Saccharomyces cerevisiae S288C: one gene and its partner. Changing the gene in region 2 together with the main gene of any one other region gives a genetic interaction. Each region holds a gene or a part of one and is shown on either strand. Other genes may lie near its edges.

Region 1 (4,096 bases), on a different chromosome or scaffold from region 2:
ATTAAATAATCTAAGTTACCTGATACAAGAACTCGACAAGAAACCAATTACCAAAGGATTACTAACCGACAGTAAATCTACAATCAGTATAATTATATCCAATAATGAAGAGAAATTTAGAAACAGATTTTTTGGTACTAAAGCAATGAGACTGAGAGATGAAGTATCAGGAAATCATCTGCACGTATGCTATATCGAAACCAAAAAGAATATTGCAGACGTAATGACCAAACCTCTTCCGATAAAAACATTCAAACTATTAACAAACAAATGGATTCATTAGATCTATTACATTATGGGTGGTATGTTGGAATAAAAATCCACTATCGTCTATCAACTAATAGTTATATTATCAATATATTATCATATACGGTGTTAAGATGATGACATAAGTTATGAGAAGCTGTCATCGAAGTTAGAGGAAGCTGAAGTGCAAGGATTGATAATGTAATAGGATAATGAAACATATAAAACGGAATGAGGAATAATCGTAATATTAGTATGTAGAAATATAGATTCCATTTTGAGGATTCCTATATCCTTGAGGAGAACTTCTAGTATATTCTGTATACCTAATATTATAGCCTTTATCAACAATGGAATCCCAACAATTATCTCAACATTCCCCCATTTCTCAAATGATAATGCACAACAGACTTAGAACTTTAATTGTAATAATACAGCACAGTCTAGGTGAGTTTTGGACTATCAAAGACTGCGTCATACATATCAGAACATACACAAGTTACATAGTTTTAGTCTATTTTATAGTACACAGGTTTCCCCTCTATTGTTCAAAAGCAGAGTACATCAACTGCAATAGCAACAGGTCATGCTCCTACTTTGCTTTCTTCTTCCTTTACGTCTTCACTAAAGCTCGGCTTTTCCCGATCCATTTCTTCAATTTCCATATTTTGCTCTAGTTGCCAATCTTCCGTATCAGGTATGAACTGGTAGGAATAAATATGCTTGAAAATATCCTGGAAACGATCCCACAGATCCCATTTGTTCAGTTCCCTTTTTCTTAAGTTAAATAATATCCTAAAGTTTAACAGTAGGGAATTATTTGATTGGAAAATTGTTATAAATTCGTTTCTGGACCCCCTGGTGTCAAGGGCAATCTGCAATTCATCTAATATTATTTCGAAATCATCCTTTATCGAAACAGCCTGGTTAATGGCTGAACATAAGACATCACACAGGAGCTTGTTGATACCTGCTAGTTTATCCTCCAGATCTAGCTTAATCTCCACATGCTTTTCTAGATTTTTCTTCTGCGACAGTTTTTTCGCAATCGGATCCATCGTTTTTTCGATTGATAGATCTTGTGGGCCCAACCCAACAATGCTCCAATCTTCATCATCTTCAAAATGATATTTGATTGGCTTAGGTGGTTTAGGTTTCTCTTTCTTTGCCTTTGTTTTTGGATTTGGTTTAGTCTTGGATACTACAACTTTCTTAGTTTTGGTCCTTTGCGGCCTCTTTCTAACAGCCTCTTGTACTTTTTCCTCCTCTTCCTCCTCTTCCTCTTCTGAAGCATCTATCGCTTGTTGCCTAGTCGATCTAGTAACTCTTTTCCTTTTATTGCTATTACCGCCCTCACTCTTTTCCGTTTCTGAGGCGCGCTTCTGACGCTGTCTACTGGAAGACCTGGTTGGCCTTATAGCCTTTTTTTCAGGTTCGTTCTCTTCTTCCTCTTCCTCTACATATTCCTCTTCATCTGGCTTGCCGTAAGACCCATATTCCACAAATTCCCAAATATCAATTCCATTTTTGCCTCTCATAGCCATTTCATATGCCGGTATGAGTTTCTTATTCTTCCGCTGTTTGCCGCTTAGCCACTTACGACAATCTTCGCTTGTTAGAATCTTCATATCCATGGGCTTCACCCAGATATAAGAATCATCGCAAAAAAACTTGACGCAGTAAGTCGATTTCAACGTATCATTTTTACGAAACTTCAGAACGGGAGTGTATATTATAAATTTTTCAGGATTAGCCTCACTCTCACCAAAATCCTCTATATCTTCTTCTTCTTCGCTTTGCTCTCGATCTCTAGCCTCTGATTCCATGTCTGCATCTATATCTTCATTTGCTTTTTTATCACTACCTGATTTGCCTTTGTGGACACTCACAGGTTTGGTCTTGAGGATGTTATCTGGGATGAGTTCATTAGGGATAATCATTGCTGGCCATGCTGAAAAGCCTTTAACTTTGGCAAGGACAATGTCCGTTGGCTGGAATATCGCTTCAGACATTATCGGAGAATGACACGCCGTTCTGAAAAATGTAGTTAACAATTTCTTCGTCAATTCTTACTTTACCAATATTGATATAACGCTTAAAAAACTGGCAGCTACATGCGTAGATTTATTTCACTGTTAACGGGGAGCCACGATATTTTCCGTACACTCGTATAAAAGTATATAACTTACAATACTGGCAATGAAATTAGACCGAGAGGCATTTATATGGTAATGATTATACAACTAAAAAAAGATTAGCATTAAAAGCAATGTAATTAACATTATAATTTTTTTGGAAATGTGTGTATGTGAGTAAAGTATACAAGTTATGTGTGGTTTCTCATATTTTTATATTCTTAAAGTTTTATATTTATATTTTATATATCCGGGGAAGGAGAAGGGGAGATTTGATTGAATCTTCTTGCCTATGAAAGAAAGTGGCAGCAAAATGAAATGAGGCAAAGAAACAAACCAGAAGTAATCGTAAAAAAAAAGGTAAGTGCCGATGACTAAGGTACTTCCTATTCTTTTACCGACATAGGGCTTTTTTCAATATAGAGTAATGTACGTTTTTGTTCTTGTTGTCTATCTTTCTTTAATTGGTACGGAAACAGCTTTTTCCTCTTAATGCTCGTCTATGAATTATATACGGAAATCGATAAGATTAGTATTGGCCTTGTTGCGGTTCTTGAAAGTATTGTTGGTAGGCAGCATTCTGTTCAGCATTCAGATAGGGGGAGGCAGCGTTGGCAAAAGCCTGTTGGTGAGGCTGATGAATGCCGGTGAGGGGTTGTTGTTGTTGCTGCTGTTGCTGCTGTTGCAGTTGTTGTTGTTGTTGTTGCTGTTGCTGTGGCTGCGATTGTTGCGGATGTGGTATTCCTTGCTGTGGTCGAGGATGCTGTGACATTTGTTGCTGTGACATTTGCTGCTGTGGTTGTTGTTGCTGTTGCTGTTGTGGTTGTGAATTCTGCGTGTGATGTTGCTGCTGTTGAATCATTGAGTTTTGATTAGGATTGGCACCGCCTAGCAATTGTGACTTCACCTCTTGTTTCAGCGCGCCTGCCGGTACCTGATCTTGATTTAGATGGCCTAAGCTATTTGCGTGTGCATTCAATACTTGTTGCTGTTGTTGCGGTTGCTGTTGTTGTGGTTGCTGGCGTTGCATATCATTACCATCATCGTCATCATCATCATCATCATCACCGTCTTCCTCCTCGTCTTCTTCCTCATCATCAGGGGCGTTAAGACAGGCCTGGATCAGGTTTCTACCTTCCTGCTGCGTGACTATAGGTTCAAACTTCGGCGTGCTGAAAGTATATACCAAACCTGTTTCTGAAACGACTAGCAACAGGACCTGGGTCCCCGTTAGAACAGAAAGCTCAAACGCCTTTTTCATGATACCGTGCTTCCTTTTGGAAAATGTCACATGGCGCCTTGTTTTATTCTCGATGAACTTAATTTCTATCTTTCTTCTCTCCTTCTGTTGCCCATTATTAGTAGGCGTACCTTCTTCGATGTCTGACATTTTTGCTGGGTGGCTATAATATTGTTGCGTGACAGCAAGTCTTGCAGATCCAAAACTTTTTTTTGATTTTCGCTTCTTATTGCTCTGCACTAATTTTTTTTTCTCTTTCCTTTCCCGTTTTTTTCCCTATAACTGAATCGAAAAAAACAGACAAAACAGCGATTAAAAAAAATGTATCAAAAAAAAAAAAAATTCAAAAATATTATCAGTATAATGAATTAACAAACGTAAAATAAAATTGCTTGTTAGGCTATGTATTTTTCCAGAAAAAAGTGGTGAGAATAGGAAACCGATTGGGTATGCGATGATATAGTATGTATAATAC
Region 2 (4,199 bases):
GGAATTTAGTTGAACATGTGACGAAAGCTCTGCTACTAAGACAGGGGCAAAAAATAACAATATGTAAGCATAAGAAATGGGTCAATGTTGGGATACTTGGTGAATTCCGTTCTTTTTAGAAGCGGATTTTCTTATTCGTTTATATGTTGCCATTCATTACCCTATCATATTATGAATCTTCACATTTTATTTTCCATAAGATCTGATGACTGTTTCCCAATCACCTTACATCATATATGATAATGTACAATTGATATGAAGAATAGCAGTCGATGGATGATATTTTATTCTTATTATCAACATGTACAAAGTGTTGGAACGGTAAAGACCAGTGCAAATCTGATAAAACTTTAAAATAACATGGACAAATTTATGTCCAGGATTCTCCGAAGAACTCATCCTTGTTAGCTCAGTTGGTAGAGCGTTCGGCTTTTAAGCGCATTTGCTTAAGCAAGGATACCGAAATGTCAGGGGTTCGAGCCCCCTATGAGGAGTTCTTTCTTTTTTTCTCTCAATTTTTAACCGGTACCTTTAAAAGGGTATCAAAAACAATAGCATAGCATAAAAGAAATAAGTGCAATTTATTGGTGTCATTTATATAAGCTATGAATTTTAAAAAAAATAAATGTAGCAGTTTCTTTTTTGTTTAAATTCTGAGTTTTCTACTTTTTAATTTCCAAAATACTACAGCTGAAAGAACAGCGGATACAACGAATGCGATACTGCTGTACTTGTAGACAGCCGAAATACAGGACGGATTTCGCAGATCTCCTCCGCCACTCATACAGCGAGAATCGTAAAATTTGGCATACAACATGCAAAATATCATAGAACCTATAGCAGGTGCAATTAGTAAGCTACCGTAAACAGTCCCGAATGAGCGTTCGCCCCATACTAACAGGACCAGCGTCGGATAAACAGTGAAAAGTCCACCGTATACAATTCCAACCAATGATCCTGTAGGTACTAGCCCCCAGGGTGACGCTGAAGAGGTCATTTTCAATAAAAACAGTTGTGCACATACCCCTAATGAAAGGAAAGTCAACAGGATCCATTTAATTGATATTTTTTTCTTGGCGAAGAAGTCTGCCACTATGCCTGTGAGCAATCTCGTAAAAGTGGAAGATAGCGCGTATGTGGATAACAACTTTGTAGATAAGGTTGGCGCATCTAATTGGACTAGCAGGTTAGTCAGTGATCCCATATTGGCAATAAACATCTCGAGGGGCCCAAGTGATAACAAAATTGATACCGCTAGGATATATGTCACAGGATCACTAAAGATCCTTAGCATCGTCTGCGTAAACTTTTCTTGAACATGATTACTTCGTTCTAACAGCGGTGATTGTTCCACATCAGTTTGATCATCCAGCCGTTTTTGGTTGTCTTGCTCTTCATTAAAATGCAAAAGTGATACCACGCTGGTGGCTATCCATGCAAGTAGCCCAATAACGACATAAACGAGGGCAAATGTTTGGAATACTCTTCCCAGGTTTAAGTCACTATTGGACGAGGAAGAACTTGCGTTAGAGGACCAGAACCATTTGATTCTTAGCAGTTGAGAACCGACTACAGAAGAAATACCATAACATGTCGTTGGTAAGCTAATGGATAGTAGTTTTGTATGAGGATATAGCTTAGTGCATGTCAGTAAAGCGCTAAAGTATAAAGCGCTTGTTGATATACCTATGAAAACGAAACAAATGATGGATAGATTGAATGATGAGTCACCATTTCCTCCGAGAGATAACTCCGGATGATTAAAAACGTAAGCCAGATATGAATAGCTAGGTATGAACCCTATGATGGCTAAAAGACTTAAAGTAATGGGGCCATGAGAATCAGCGATCATCCCCAAGATTGGTGGCGTCAAGTACATCCCCAAATTAGTCATACTAGCGATGGTGTTGATTTGCCATGAGGAATAATTTAAATGTTTCTGCCACGGTTGAGAGTAAAGAGATATCAAAGTAATGAAGCCAGTTGACACCGCAGATAATAGCGAAAAGATGTATGCAACACGATGTGATGACTGAAGAGACAAAACATGGGGTAAGAGTAAGCGCGTATGGTATGAAAGGTAGTGCTCCACCTTTGATAGAGGCATGATTTGCACTTGGAAAATGGTTATTGCTATAAAATGATATGAAAGGAAACTAGTCTCGATGAAACGTTAGAAGTTGCTGTCTGAGTAGCGGTCTCTGTTATCTTGTATTTACACTGTATAATAGTTTTTCTTGTAGGGCAAAAAGAAAGGTACTAATTTCCGAACGATGCGAAAAGCCGCTAGCATCGGAAAGGCTAAGTGAACTATGCAATAAAGACTAAGAGAAAAAGCAAAGAAAGGCGTCTTAACACAGTATACATTTTTCGACATTATGAATTATAAAATTTTTATTTACGCTTGTAAAATAATATTTTCATTTCTTCTATTTTCCTCTTTTCTTCGTTTTCTTGACTTCATACTTCATTTTTTGTTTGACTCCTTTTTGCGTTATGAAACGTGATGCTTCGATATTCTCATTGGTTTCTTAAAACTTTAGCAATATCGGACAAACAGCCGTATTTTTTATTCTTATTTTTACTGCTTGATACAGTACCCCAGTCAGTGGCTGTTGAAACTCTGCCACTTGCCGTTTCTGATAGTACTTGCTTATAAGTTTTCATTGAATGACTTTTTTCACCAGCGGTATAGCTCTGAAATAATTTGTGCATATACGATCTAACTTCTTCTCTATTGTAAGGTTGTTTATTCGCTCTTTTAAATTTCTTATTTGTGGATGATCCATTGGCGGTGGAACTACCCTTTATATTAGCAGGCGGCGCGGTAGATGCGATGGTTTTAGTCTTCGTATTAGCAGGTTGTACAGCCACGGAATCATCTTTTCGTGCCTGCTGTTGCTGTTGCTGTTGCCTTGGAAGGGCTTTGGCAGCTGCCTGCGCCCAACCTGTTAATTTTGGCTTCTGAGGAAGCACAGCGGGCGTTGGACCATTTGAATTTGGACCTGAAGCAGATAAAGTAGCCTTCAAAGTCGAGGAGGTTCTGCCATCTACACTGGTTGTTGAGGTTGTTGTCATTTCGTACTAGATTAAAGGGAAAATTGTATCGTAAATAAGTAATAAAGTTAATGAAAATTCGGAAACAAAAATGGATAGATATTAAACAGTGAACAAATGAAAAATTTCAGAAAAAAAGAATTAAAAAAAAAAAGGGAAAAAATATGCACAAGATCGTATTATTTGTTGTTCCTCGTATTTTTCTTTCTATTTAGTCTCACATTTTTGACACATGCCTGGTGTTATATATACATTACAATGGAAAGTTCTTTTCTCTTTCTCCGAATAAAGTAGCGGTCTATTGATCACTTCTTACGCTGGGTATATGAGTCGTAATAAATAAAATCATCAGAATCATTCGTAAGTCATTTTACTTTTTTAAAAAGATAATTACAGTTTTTGGGTCTATATACTACTCTAAAAATGTGGTGGTGGCTTAATGCATCTTTTTTACAGATGAACCTTCGTTATGGGTATTGACATCGTTGCTAATGCTGACAGAAGGCACAGGCTCATTCTTGATTTTCTTGTTCACTTTCTTGTCATGTTGAAGAGCGGCATACTCAATAGCTTGTGGTGGGAGGGTTGTATCGTTGATGGCGGGAGAGTAGCCAATCTCCTTCAAAGTGTCAACCATTTGATCTCTAACTTTTTCAGCAAATTCACCAATTTTGTCCTTTGTTAAGTTCTCGGTTGAAATAGGTTTTAAAATTCTAACAATCATACAGCCTCTGTTGAAGACCCCATATTTAGGACTTACTAAAGTACTGGTATTGGAAACAACCACTGGAACAATGGGGATCTTACCCTGTTGTGCCAAATGGAAAGCACCCTTCTTGAAAGGCAACATTGTCAGCTCACTCGTGTAAGACCTGGTACCCTCAGGAAAAACCCATAGAGCACGCTTGTTTTTCTTAACATTTTCTAAACCTTTATTCAAGGTGTCAATGGCTTCTTGCCTTTTAGATCTGTCTAAGAAATATGTACCACTCAAAGCCATGAACCAACCCAGAAAGGGGACGTATTTCAAAGACTTCTTGGCAGTAACTGTGCAACCAGGGGGGAAAATCCTACCTAACATGAAGATATCCAAGGTGGATTGGTGATTGGCAATCATAATATATGGCTTCTTGGCCAAATTC

The links.
Region 1: mutations in MCH1 (region 2) and IOC4 together harm fitness more than expected from each alone (negative genetic interaction), as found in Saccharomyces cerevisiae (2 studies listed by BioGRID).

The regions. Positions count from the first base shown.
Region 1 is NC_001145.3:353,546-357,641, reverse strand, and holds IOC4 (Ioc4p), read right to left. Parts: upstream 2,259-4,096; coding exon 831-2,258; downstream 1-830. Other genes in the region: transcription factor MCM1, read right to left, coding at 2,911-3,771. UniProt on the Saccharomyces cerevisiae protein: Functions as a component of the ISW1B complex, which acts in remodeling the chromatin by catalyzing an ATP-dependent alteration in the structure of nucleosomal DNA.
Region 2 is NC_001136.10:359,179-363,377, forward strand, and holds MCH1 (Mch1p), read right to left. Parts: upstream 2,108-4,199; coding exon 647-2,107; downstream 1-646. Other genes in the region: PBP4 (Pbp4p), read right to left, coding at 2,521-3,078; 1-acylglycerol-3-phosphate O-acyltransferase SLC1, read right to left, coding at 3,494-4,199. UniProt on the Saccharomyces cerevisiae protein: Probable transporter. Does not act in the transport of monocarboxylic acids across the plasma membrane.